Nothobranchius furzeri: one gene and its partners. The protein of the gene in region 1 interacts with the protein of each later gene in a pairwise test. Links are inferred from orthologs where the notes say so. Each region holds a gene or a part of one and is shown in the gene's direction. Other genes may lie near its edges. The genes, in order: ap1g1, ubl7b and AP-1 complex subunit sigma-2.

The links.
Region 2: the proteins of ap1g1 (region 1) and ubl7b interact in binary tests that used the Homo sapiens proteins (3 or more experiments, as listed by UniProt). The two-hybrid records come from large-scale screens. The link is inferred for Nothobranchius furzeri from reciprocal best matches to the Homo sapiens genes AP1G1 and UBL7.
Region 3: the proteins of ap1g1 (region 1) and AP-1 complex subunit sigma-2 interact in binary tests that used the Homo sapiens proteins (3 or more experiments, as listed by UniProt). The link is inferred for Nothobranchius furzeri from reciprocal best matches to the Homo sapiens genes AP1G1 and AP1S2.

The regions. Positions count from the first base shown.
Region 1 is NC_091749.1:59,385,936-59,390,194, reverse strand, and holds the start of ap1g1 (AP-1 complex subunit gamma-1), read left to right. Parts: upstream 1-1,427; 5' UTR 1,428-1,543; intron 1,544-4,259. UniProt on the Homo sapiens protein: Subunit of clathrin-associated adaptor protein complex 1 that plays a role in protein sorting in the late-Golgi/trans-Golgi network (TGN) and/or endosomes.
Region 2 is NC_091749.1:74,652,443-74,656,655, reverse strand, and holds the start of ubl7b (ubiquitin-like protein 7b), read left to right. Parts: upstream 1-1,406; 5' UTR 1,407-1,495; exon of another isoform or gene 1,496-1,551; intron 1,552-1,881; 5' UTR 1,882-1,890; coding exon 1,891-2,065; intron 2,066-2,131; coding exon 2,132-2,251; intron 2,252-2,339; coding exon 2,340-2,425; intron 2,426-4,213.
Region 3 is NC_091749.1:41,412,240-41,416,257, forward strand, and holds the start of AP-1 complex subunit sigma-2, read left to right. Parts: upstream 1-1,203; 5' UTR 1,204-1,310; coding exon 1,311-1,313; intron 1,314-1,756; coding exon 1,757-1,935; intron 1,936-3,370; coding exon 3,371-3,479; intron 3,480-3,582; coding exon 3,583-3,720; intron 3,721-3,871; coding exon 3,872-3,919; 3' UTR 3,920-4,018. UniProt on the Homo sapiens protein: Subunit of clathrin-associated adaptor protein complex 1 that plays a role in protein sorting in the late-Golgi/trans-Golgi network (TGN) and/or endosomes.

The DNA.
Region 1 (4,259 bases):
ACATGTAAAAACAGAAGAGCTGTGTTAACTTAGTATTTTCAATAAAATTAAAAGATAAAATAACTTCGTAAAATAAGTGTTAAGTTTGTCAAAGTTAAAAACGAGACTTTTTAATCATAGTACTATAATGCAATGCTGCAGCGCCCCCTGGTGTATGTTTTGGAGCCACTTGAGCATCTGCATTTGTATAATTACTCTTACACACGTTCTATTGTTGTTTTCATACAAATGTGCCTTGTAATTAAAAAAACTTGTTTAAACTGTGGCCGAGACCCGAAAATTCCTAACGACAATCCACATAATTAGCGTTAAATGCACTAACTTTTCCTAATAATAATTGGGTTATATAATTACTATAAATAATAAATCCATATTAATTAATAAACTGTAAAATAAATGTATATTTAATAATACATTCATAAAATTGTGCAAAAACAAACTGGATGCAGTACCTTACATAACAGGTAATGCAATTAAAAAATGGTTTCTTGGACAGCTCAGTAACAACACTAGGTGGCGCTACACACCACTGCTCTCCTATAGCCATAACATTGATGTAGTCGTCATCACTGAATGCCACGAGTAAACTGACCGCAGCACGACACTGACACGGCAAAAACGTACTCCTCCGCAAGGTTAAACGAAAATATGCCGTCCCAACACAATAATCAAGGTGTCATGAGATTCGTGTATAACAAAGACACGATACAAGACACATCTTACAACAGAGCAGAAAGGCGCAATGTTCAGTCACACGGAACTCTTCTGAGTGAGATTGTTTTAACGATATATAGCTGGCTAACCAACAAAATGTTAGCTATTTGAATCACTGCGAGAACGGTAAGCTTGCAAGGCAATGCATGAACAGGTAAATTACAAAAATGGTTTAGAATTCATCCACCTAGCCAGATTTCTTGTGATAACGAAAGCATAATTAAACTATTACCCATAATGTCCAGTTAATACTGGCATATCAGGTGTGAGTCTCGGTCAGAGGCAGATTGTGATGAGCTCTGGTCCAGGCTAACGTTAATGTAACTTGAGCTGGATGTCTGCGTTGTTGGCAGGTCGTTGTAACATATAAACAAAGTGCACATGAGCTATGTAATTACATTTTAACACGTGAATAACAATAGCTTCTTGCAAATGTAAAAATCTCCCAAAATAATTACTGTGCTTCGTACAAACATTTATCTGGAAGCATTGAAATACGGAATTTAAATAGTTTGTATCTCAATATTTTGCTCAGCATGTTAAAAATGTATGGGGATTACTTCAGACAATAACCATCTTTAGATATCTAAAGTAGTTAGGAGTTACAATTTTTACAAACGTGTGACTCGTTCACGTTTGCAAAATTTCCGACTATTATATGCTGCGTTTGCTTGCTTTAACCTTCTTTCACCAACCTCCGCCAGCGTAACCCTCCGCCTGCGGTAGATGTGCTGAGGCTGGAGTAGCCACCATTTTGCATGTCTAGTGTGTTCCTCCCTTCATTGCTAGTAGAGACGATTCCAGTTCTTTCCTGGCGTCATTACGGCTTGTAAGTACATTCAGTAAATAACACTTTGTCATAAATGTGCATACGTCGCTTTAACGATGTATATTTATCTGTGTTTTGATTGTATTTACGGTGTTAACTCAGTGTTAGCGCTGCATAGGAAGTGGCAGCCCTCAGTGCACCGGGGCTGTGCCTGTCAGCAGCTAAGTTAGCTGGGCTAGGTGGTACACCAGTGTCACTGTTCACCAACACACAAACATCATGACAACTTGTAACTCTGAATTTATTTTTAATATCCTTTTAAAGGCGTTTATACCAACAAACGCTCTCTCGTTTCCAGAGCATTCTAGTTAGCTAACGGTAAGGATGACTCGCTAGCTCGATAATCCAAATGCTTGAAGAAGGCCTTAACTGCATCATGCCCTGATCAATTGGCGATTAGACGCAGGTTAATGCCCCCTTTCACCATTTAGTCCATTTTGTGTAATGCTATAGAGGTAAATTATAGTTTAGGTGAATAGTGTCAGTCAAGGTGACGCTGTAGTGATTAACTATCATCGTGCCCTTTAAACGCGCACTAGCTCGTCAATGGCTTGTTTTGAAAAGTGTGCTTTGCCTTTGCAAATTTAATCACAACCGTGTTATATTTGGGAATGGCGTCGGACTGCGTTTCTTTAAATGATTTATAAACTTTTAGCCAACAAGCCTTCGGGTATCTAGGAAGCTTTGTGGTTAAAACGTAGACGGTGATCTGCTAAAGTTTTATGATATTAGGTGTTGACGTTTTGAAGAAGGCTACATTCAGATTCACTCATTTAATCACATATGTGTGTCATGTTAGTGTCACCTCACCTGTAGCTTGAAAACGTTTGATCTGTGGGAAGTCAACAGTAAGAAGGAAGTGAGCTAACCAGTGTGAGGCATGTGCCATTCTTCGGTACCTGGTGGATTTACGTTACCTGTCACATTAACATTACCACCCTTTTCTACTGCTTCAGGTAGAGCCAGTGCTCTCATGGTGATTGATGATTTGTATACAAGTAGCTGAGATGATCTTATTTGTCTTCGCCTGTTTGTTTTGGGCCAACTTTGTGTTTAGATTGCAGCATACAGCAAACAAAGTACTTTGGAAGTTTAAAGTCTTTCAACTTTTGAACTTCCTGTGATTCAATTTATCATCTAAATCAACAGTAATGCTATGGGGTTGGGCTTTGCAACTCCATTTACTAGTCTCAAGGAAGAAGTTACAAAGTGAATTCAAGTTTTATTCCTTCAGTTTGTGGAATCAAGTATTTGCAACAAGACTTTTTTTTATTATAGGAAAACAGTTTTAAACAGCCACATATGCCAGATTTACATGGGTTAAATAAACAGTATAGGCAGAAGAGTGTTGCATTCGAATCAACACCCTTTTGTAGGATTACATGGGAAAAGCTAATCTTGTTTTGTTTATATCTGAATACAAATATGGCAGCAAAAAAAAAGAAAAATCTATTAAAGTAGATTTTTTTTGTTACTGAGTATACTTTTGGTCTGCTAAAGTATAGAAAAGTAGTTTAATCAGCTCACATCAGGGGCTGGATTTACCTTCTGTGTTGATTATAAACACAGCTAGAGACCTGATTCATGGAGCCCAACACTTGGGTCCATTCTGCTTAGCTCATTTAAATGGTGTTGGAACAGACAGTAGGTCTCTGGCTTTATTAAAGTAGCCTTTTCTGTCCAGCTTCTCCATTGATCAAAGTGAATTCTTGGGTTTTTCCACAAAACCACAATCTTTAAAAAAAGGCTTTAAAAGCTCTGGTGTGCCTTTTTCAGCAGAGAATTCTACTGGAGGACAAAGTAGCTTCTTATTTCCTGATATTTGGACATTTTGTCTTTGGATAACAACACAACTCTACCACTTACTCCTTTTGCTTTGCAACATTGATGGTTTATCTCCACAAATAACACAACCCTGGAGGAGTTATGCTGTGTGGTGTGGTGGAGTTGCTAATGTTAACAGTTAGCTTCTACTAGCCTAGATGTTCTCTGCTAGTCATGGGCGGTATCCAAATTTTAATACCGTCTAGCTTCTTCCACATTTTACCACGGTGTACGGTATTACCGGGACTACGTAATTAACCAGCTCAGTGACCCAGCGGTGGAGTGTCCGCCCTGGGACTGGGAGATCAAGGTTCAGTTCCCGGTCGAGTCAAAGACTTTTAAAAATGGGACCCAATGCCTCCCTGCTTGACACTCAGCTTTAAGGGTTTGGATTGGGGGGTTAAACAACCAAATAGTTCCTGAGCGCAGCCATTGCTGCAGCTCACCGCTCCCCTCTATGGGGATGGGTCAAATACGGAGGTGTGTGATAAAAACAATGGGACTTTAGTTTAAAAACAATGACATAAGCCTCAAGTGTAATTACCAAGCTGTTGGTTTGGACCTTCACCGTTCAGAAACTGTAAAACACCAACAGAGTTTTATTTCTATTTTTCAAACCTCCAAGATAGCCACACCAATTAGACATTTATGTAATAAATGTTTTTCTTCTAGTAGGTTTAAACATCACAATAATCAACTTCCATTGAGGACTGCAACACAGGAAGGTAGTGTTTCTCATTTTCCTCTAACAAAACGTCTTGATTTCTACATTCGAGTTCATAAACAACAGTAGTTGTTTATGAATGCAGACAGGCATTTCCGACAGTTGTACAATACTTCTAAACAACGTCTTTCCTCTTTGTTTAGAGCAGAATTTATAAACTGAAAAACC
Region 2 (4,213 bases), about 15 Mb from region 1:
GGCTGTACTTTGTCTTAATAAGGAGAGGAGCCTATTAATGCGCATTATATCTGTTATATTAGCGCACAATACTTCATCCCAGTTGAGAGCCATTTAAAAGTCCCTGCAGTCACCATGGTAGAATAACAAGCTCTAGAAATGAGACTTTATTGACCAAAACTTTCCTTAGCAGGCCTTTCCAACCCCAAACATCTGAACTATGGCTTTGATGCTGGTGCAGGAGGGTTTCCGGTGAGAGGAGGGCGCAGTCTGCGCGTTCATGCTGTAGTTTTCATCACCTTTAGATGCTGGAGGGGCTTGGAGACCCTCTGAGTTTCTCCCACAGAGAGAAAAAAGCTGAATTAAGGCGAGTTTCGAGCCTGAACGCAGAAGTTGGTCCTCCTGCTGCTCAGTGACTTCTTATTTCCTCCACAGCTGTTGCTCGTTTTCTCACCGAAGTTAAACACTCTTAACTCCATGAATACTCGCATCTCCTTGGTTTCTGCTCGTTTAGATACTTATTTATAAACCATGACCGTATTCTGGAGGCAAAGCCCGAAACTCACCGACCGTCCAGCGGCGGAGACTCTCTCTCTCTCTCTCTGAGGAGTTATCTTCTGCAGAACTTCATTCCTCCACAAAGTCAGCTCTTCTAAACCGGCTCCACTCTGGTTCGTCTCTAAATCTACAATCGTCCGAGTTCGGGATGTTTCATTGATTTGGGAAGCTTCTCCTAGAAGAAACCACTCCTTGTTGCTTTGTCCAGCGGTGATGTCATGCGGAGCCTCCCCCGGTACCGACCCCCACACACGGGGTTAACCGTTTACTGGACGGCTGGAGCCCGTCATCACACCATCCTAGTCATGTATTACTGACTTTGATGCTTATTCATAAAAAGGTTATTAAACAGAAATAGTTTTTTTTATAAAAACCCTAATTTCGTTAAATGTTACTGTATATTTTAACTCATTTAACTACTATAACTACTTAGAAAATACACATTTGTTCTTTATTTACGGAAATAATAGTTACATAAGGGGTATTTTACTTTATCTACACAAAACAATATGTACTTTTATTTAATTTGTTTATTTGTAAAAGAACAGGTGAGGGTATTATGTTAACGTTAACGTATCTATCTATCTATCTATCTATCTATCTATCTATCTATCTATCTATCTATCTATCTATCTATGTATCTATCTATCTATCTATCTATCTATCTATCTATCTATCTATCTATCTATCTATCTATCTATCTATCTATCTATCTATCTATCTATCTATCTATCTATCTATCTATCTATCTATCTATCTATCTATCATTTACTGTTTCGATTTATTAAACTTGCCACAAATTATGAGAACAAATATCAACGAATGTTTCTTTAGCGTGAAAAGGGGAGTTGCGCTTCTTTGGTGATGTTAAAAGTTCCAGCATTCAGACAGTGCACTGAAACGCAACACAGGCCACGTGACCAAAAGCAGGAAGTGAGTTGATTGTCAACAGCAAACGGTGAGTGAGTCACTTTTACCATCGTCCTCGGCGTTTCTAGCCTTTATGTTTGACAGGTCTGTGTTATTTAAACGTTAGTTAAGTAATTCTAATTGATCACACTGGATGAAACTTTCACGTTTAACGTAGCAAATCGCTTGTTTCTGAAGGACATGCTAGGCAGCTAGTCGACAGTTTCCTTAGTCAGCCTGCAGAAAAGAAGTGTTAGGTTTTATAATGTTAGTGAACCGTGTTGGTTTACATTATGTCTTGGCTATTCTGGGAAACTTATGTGTAAACAGACGTACACTCGTGTAACATTTTACGTGAGGAACATCTCGCTTTAGCATCGTTTTCTATCGATCTCTGTAATCCAGGAATGTGGATGTTGTATTTTCTGTCATTAGAAGTTCGAGATGGCCTCTTCAGATTGGCACCTGTCCCTGAAGCTGGTGGATCAGCCCAAATCCACTTTCCACTTCCCAGAGATGATGCCAGGGGACGTCCCACCTGGAGGATACAGAGTGGCCACCTTAAAGCAGCTGGTAGCAGCTCAGCTTCCGGACTCCGTCCCGGACCCTGAACTAATAGGTCTGTCCGCATGAGCTGCAGGTAGTCAGATGGAGTTTTTAACTGTCCTGTCTGTGCTTTGACCAGAGCTGGTTCACTGTGGCCGGAAGCTAAAGGATGATCTGACGCTGGATGCCTGTGGAGTTCAGCCAGGATCCACCTTACATGTCCTCAAAAGGATGTGGCCAGAGCCAGAGAGCAGTCCAGGTCTCTGTCCGCTTGTGTGTCACTTAAAACAAACGTGAATGCATTCATGAATCTGAATGTGTGTCATTTTGTTTTTGTATTTGCGTAGAACCTGTGAACAGAGCAACTGCAGCTCGGGAGTTCAAGGTGTTCCACGCTGCTCTTCATTCTCTCAGCTCAGCCTATAGAGACTCCGTAAGTAGAGGATCCATGGACCTCACAGAGCTGTGCTGAGTATCAGACACGTATTCAACATCTAAAAGAGCTGCATTTGAGTTATGGGTGATCATTATAGATGACACATTTGATATTTCCGGTTTTAATTACAAACCTAGATTGGATCTTACCTTCACAGCTCTCTACGTTCCATCTGAAGCCGGCACAAGTGATCAAGTTTAGTGTTGGTAGTTATAAAAAGTCCTTCTCAGTGCAAATATATAATTAATCAGATGGTGATTATTAGGGATGGACAGCATATCGGTATCGGCCATTGTTAGTCATTTTTAACGTATCGGTATCAGTTCGATAAATGAAACCGGGCCGATATTATCTACCAATCTTTGTTCCAACTAGTTGCCATTTGTCTGCCTGTTTCAGAGGGTGTGTGTGTGTGTGGGGGGGGGGGGGGGGGGTGATGTGTAATTGTTTAGTCATGTGAACAGTGAATGAAATCATCTCGGAACCATAAATGTGTGTGTTGTGCGTACATAATAAAGTAAATTCAGCTTTAATAACTTTTATCTATACAAAGTCTGCTGGTTTTAGAAGCATTAATGTCAGTTTATCGGTATCGGCCCAAAAATTTCACATCGGTGCCTCACTAGTGATTATACTAAATACATATCATGCACATCCCTCTGAAAGGACACGTGTTCATATTTGCATTTCAGCACATTGTGGTATCAACTCACATTTAGAGCTTTGTTGGTAAATAGTGGGCAGCACAACCTTCATCAGCTGTGGAGCAGAACTCCCAAAGTACAATAAATAAATAAACACGGTAAGACAAATATGTTTCTGTCCAAAGAGAGTTCTGCAGCTGTAAGATGGATTTTAAGGTCCACATATAGAAAAGAAACATGGAAACAGCAAATAAAGCAATTCATATACTAGAAACTGCTCAAAATTGTGCTTGAAGCAACCGAGCTGTCGTTGTCATCATCGTCGTCTTCCTCCGCTTATCCGGGTCCGGGTCGCGGGGGCAGCATCCCAACTAGGGAGCTCCAGACCGTCCTCTCCCCGGCCACCTCCACCAGCTCCTCCGGCAGGACCCCAAGGCGTTCCCGGACCAGATTGGAGATGTAACCTCTCCAACGTGTCCTGGGTCGACCCGGGGGCCTTCTGCCGGCAGGACATGCCCGAAACACCTCCCCGGGGAGGCGTCCAGGAGGCATCCTGACCAGATGCCCAAACCACCTCAACTGGCTCCTTTCGATCCGGAGGAGCAGCGGTTCTACTCCGAGTCCCTCCCGAATGTCCGAGCTCCTCACCCTATCTCTAAGGCTGAGCCCGGCCACCCTACGGAGGAAACTCATTTCGGCCGCTTGTATCCGCGATCTCGTTCTTTCGGTCATTACCCAAAGCTCATGACCATAGGTGAGGATTGGGACGTAGATCGACCGGTAAATCGAGAGCCTGGCTTTCTGGCTCAGCTCCCTCTTCAATTCAATTCAAAAATACTTTATTAATCCCAGAGGGAAATTGATTGCTGTAGTAGCTCAGAATAATAATAATAATCAAGTCATCAAAGATTTGTTGTATATTACAATGGCTGTTGGCAGGAAGGATCTCCAGTAGCGGTCAGTGTTGCAGCCAAACTGAAGAAGCCTCTGACTGAAGACACTCTTCCGTTGTCGGACAGTCTTGTGAAGAGAACGCTCAGGGTTGTCCATCATTTTCTTGATTCTCTGGAGAATCCTTCTTTGCATTACCTCCTCCAGCGGTTCCGAAACTGCTGAAACTCTGGATGAGTCCTCGAAAGGG
Region 3 (4,018 bases), about 18 Mb from region 1:
AATGACTCTAAATAACCTGCAACAGAACAAGCTAAAGATCATTCTTGCTCATTCAAAAGTCAGGACCTTACTGAGTAAATTCATTTATTTGACATCATCATATTAAAATATGTTTTTTCCATCAGATCACATAACCATTAACCTGGGCCAATGACCCTGTTTTTAACAGATTTGTGTGAAATGTATGTGTGTATATTTGTTGGTGGCTCCGCCCTTTCAGTCTGCTAGGCAACAGCATTTGTAGCATTTTTCAAACTGGAAGTGGGAGTGGAGTAATACTCTGGTAGGGGGTGACTTGCTCTTTAATATGTCTGTGTCCTTTGTGCTGTATAGTTCTGGAAACACAATTTTCATTTTTATTCATTGTTTTTAGTGGATGAAGTATTCAATAACAGCTTATTGCGTTTGTGTGTTTACCTGTAATCTTGTTATTATTTGTTTTCTTCCTTTTTCTCCAAGTGTGTGCGCTGCTGTAGCAAGTGAATTTCCCCACTGTGCGATCAATAAAGTATATTCTAATCAAAGTGTTTTTGGATTGTTGTTGTTGTACATTGAAGTTGCGAGACTTTCTTTATGAAAATTCTCTTCGAATAGTTCTTATTATATGCAAAATTATCTTTACTATTATTTGTTTAGAGCCGAAATAGAGACATATTTTAAGTGAAACATTTTAACACAAACATTAGAAAAACAACCATGACACGTTTTTGAAGACTTTTGTTGTTTTGTAATACCACAGCCAGCCACTTGAGGGCGACGAAAGTCCAGCAGAGGTCGGTTTTACAATTGAAGAATCTGAAAAGAAAACCAATGTGCGAGCGTGTGTGTGTGTGTGAGAGAGAGAGAGAGAGAGAGAGAGAGAGAGAGAGAGAGAGAGAGAGAGAGAGAGAGAGAGAGAGAGAGAGAGAGAGAGAGAGAGAGAGAGAGAGAGAGAGAGACTCTGCCCCTCACAACTGTTAATTTTACTTTACTCATTAATAGGAAATTACTGTGGGCGCATCTATGTAGCTGCTTAACTCTAAAAAAAGTCTTCGCTTCCTTGTGTGTTTGGTTGTTTCTTGTTGTTTTTAAAATAACACATTTAGGTTTCTGGTGGAAGTGAAATTCAGCACCTCTGATACAAAAATGTTTTCTGGATTGACGTACAACGTAAGGAATAACGGAACCTTTCAACCAATCACATTGCAGAATCTTTGCTGTGTTGACCAATCCCTGCGCTTGTTCTCACACCCAGCATTCGCTAGGCAGTTTAGCATCGAGCAGAAGGAGGAACTAATCATCTGACAGATAGAAGTGTCTTTTGGCTCTCTATGGTAATATTTTTAACTTTACTGTACTGAAGTTCAGTTCGTGTAAGTCACTGTTTTGCAGACCAAATTAAAAGTCATGAGTATTCAGTCTCGTTTGCTGTAGCTAAGCAGGCGTCGCAGGAGGGGGTGCAAATGTCACGAAACGTGGTTTAGATGTTAAAATAGGACAATTAAGCGACCTTAGCTAACGTGAGATAATCTAACGTTATGTTAAAGCCTCACGGGTGTGTTATGTACTGAGTCTAAAAGTCGTTTGATCGAATGGTACCTCCATGTATCCTAGTAAACAGTTCAGTCAAATCTAATTTCACTGACTTTTTGCCTCACGTTCATTGCTGCGTGATTAGTTCAGTTTCCCGCATCCATATACCCTCAAACATCCAGTCTTCCTTTGTTCTTCGTATTTATTTGTATCTACATGTCGACCATCATTATTCCTTCCTCAGATGCAGTTCATGCTGTTGTTCAGCCGGCAGGGGAAGCTGCGGTTACAGAAATGGTATGTTCCTCTGTCTGACAAGGAGAGGAAGAAGATCTCGAGAGACCTGGTCCAGACCATTCTGGCCAGGAAGCCCAAGATGTGCAGCTTCTTGGAATGGAGAGACCTCAAGATTGTGTACAAAAGGTAAGTTAAAAGTTTTAGAGGGCATTCAAGTACCCTCACACTTGATGATGCATGCACACACTTCTGTTTTTCCTCAAATTGACCATAATCTGCTTAAAATATTCACTTACAGGCTTTTTCACATCAATTTAGTGAGACCTGCAAAAACAAAAACGTTTCTCTATGATTTTCACTACAGCTAATTTATATAAACATTAATGTGAGAATAAAGTCTTTTCAACTGGATGCTTATTGTTACTTGTTGCCATGTTAAAATATTTATAGATTTATTTTAAAAACTGCATCTTCATCAGCAAATTCAGAAATAGTCTAGAAAAAGTTGGCTAAAGTAGCTCATACATACCGTGTTTATGTAAATGGCACATTTAAAAACATCGTGACAGCTGACCAAAGTACTTCACAAAGGAACAAGGATGCTCCGTAGTTACAGGACAGACAACAATGTCTGACATTACGGCATCACATCTAGTTGATAGAAACACAGCAAGGTATAATATCTAAAACAATGCACCACATGAACAAGGAGGTTAAAAGAGGAGGGGCTTTGAAAAGCAAAAACACAATAATGAAGACACGTGAGCAGCAAAACATAATCCAATAAAACACACATACACGGCAGATGGTAAAAGATGAAAAACCTAATTACTGACCAAAAGATAAATGATAAAAGTGGGCCTTAAGAACAGACTTAAAACGGGCTATTAATGGGGCCTGCCATACATGTAACGAGTGAATTTAGAGTTTAGGATTGGCAAATTAGACTTGCTCCTAGGGGTGGGCAATATAAACGATATCAGGTAGAAATGATAAAAAATTGGCTAATGATAGTGTTTTTGGCTATATCGCAATACCGCGATATTGCGGAGGAGGAGGCCTATATGCCTCAAGTGGCATATATTTGTCACATGAGGATATTTAAAAGCATGTCAATTTGACATGTATTAACAGAGGGGAAAAAAATATTGCAATATATATCGTTACCGCACATGCTTCAGATTATATCGCAATATAGATTTGAGGCCATATCGCCCAGCCCTACTTGCTCCTGAGACTTGTAGTGCAATTTAGGGACACACAGGAGCAGGTGATCTGCAGACCTCAAAGATGTGGAGGAGACATAGGACAGGATCAGCTCTAAAGGGGGAGCTGTACCATTACAGCCATCACACACAAAAGTTAAAACATGTAACTGAACTCGGAAACAGATTGGAAGCCAGTGCTATTCAGGATGGGAGTCATGTGGCCGCATCTGGACATGTTTGTAAGGAATCCAGCTGCTTGATTTGTGCCATAGAGGATCATGTGAGAAACCGTTTTAGGATTTCATTTTATTAACAATTACAAACATGCATGTAAGTTGTGAAAATACAAATGCTGTCCCACCCTTTTTGCTATTATTGATCTTTGCATGTCTGCTCTCTTCATACATAAATAGATATGCCAGTCTGTACTTCTGTTGCGCCGTTGAGGATCAAGATAACGAGTTGATCACCCTGGAAATCATCCATAGATACGTGGAGCTTCTGGACAAATATTTTGGCAGCGTGAGTTTTGCAAATATTACACATTTGTAGTGCTGAGAAGCTGCAAAGATGGAATCTTCCCTGACCTTCTGTAGTTTTTTTATATGGTGCTTTTGTCCTATAGGTGTGTGAGCTTGATATTATCTTCAACTTTGAGAAGGCCTATTTTATCCTGGATGAGTTCTTGCTGGGCGGAGAGGCCCAGGAAACATCCAAAAAGAATGTGCTGAAGGCCATCGAGCAAGCCGACTTATTGCAGGAGGTACGATCATTTCCTAAACACCACATCACCGTGTGCCTGAAAGCTGTCTTCTTTGCAAGTTAAAGCTTGTGTTGACTTTGTGGCTAACGCTGATATTTTTATGTATAAAATGTGTGACAGGTGTCCTGATACTTTCTCTTTACTCTTACAGGAAGCAGAGGCCCCACGTAGTGTCTTAGAAGAAATTGGGTTGACATAAATCCCCCTGCTTCTCACACTGATCTGATCACATCCATGCCTCCATTGTGTCTTCTCCTCATTTACCGTGTCAGTGTTGTGTTTGTATAACCACCATGAG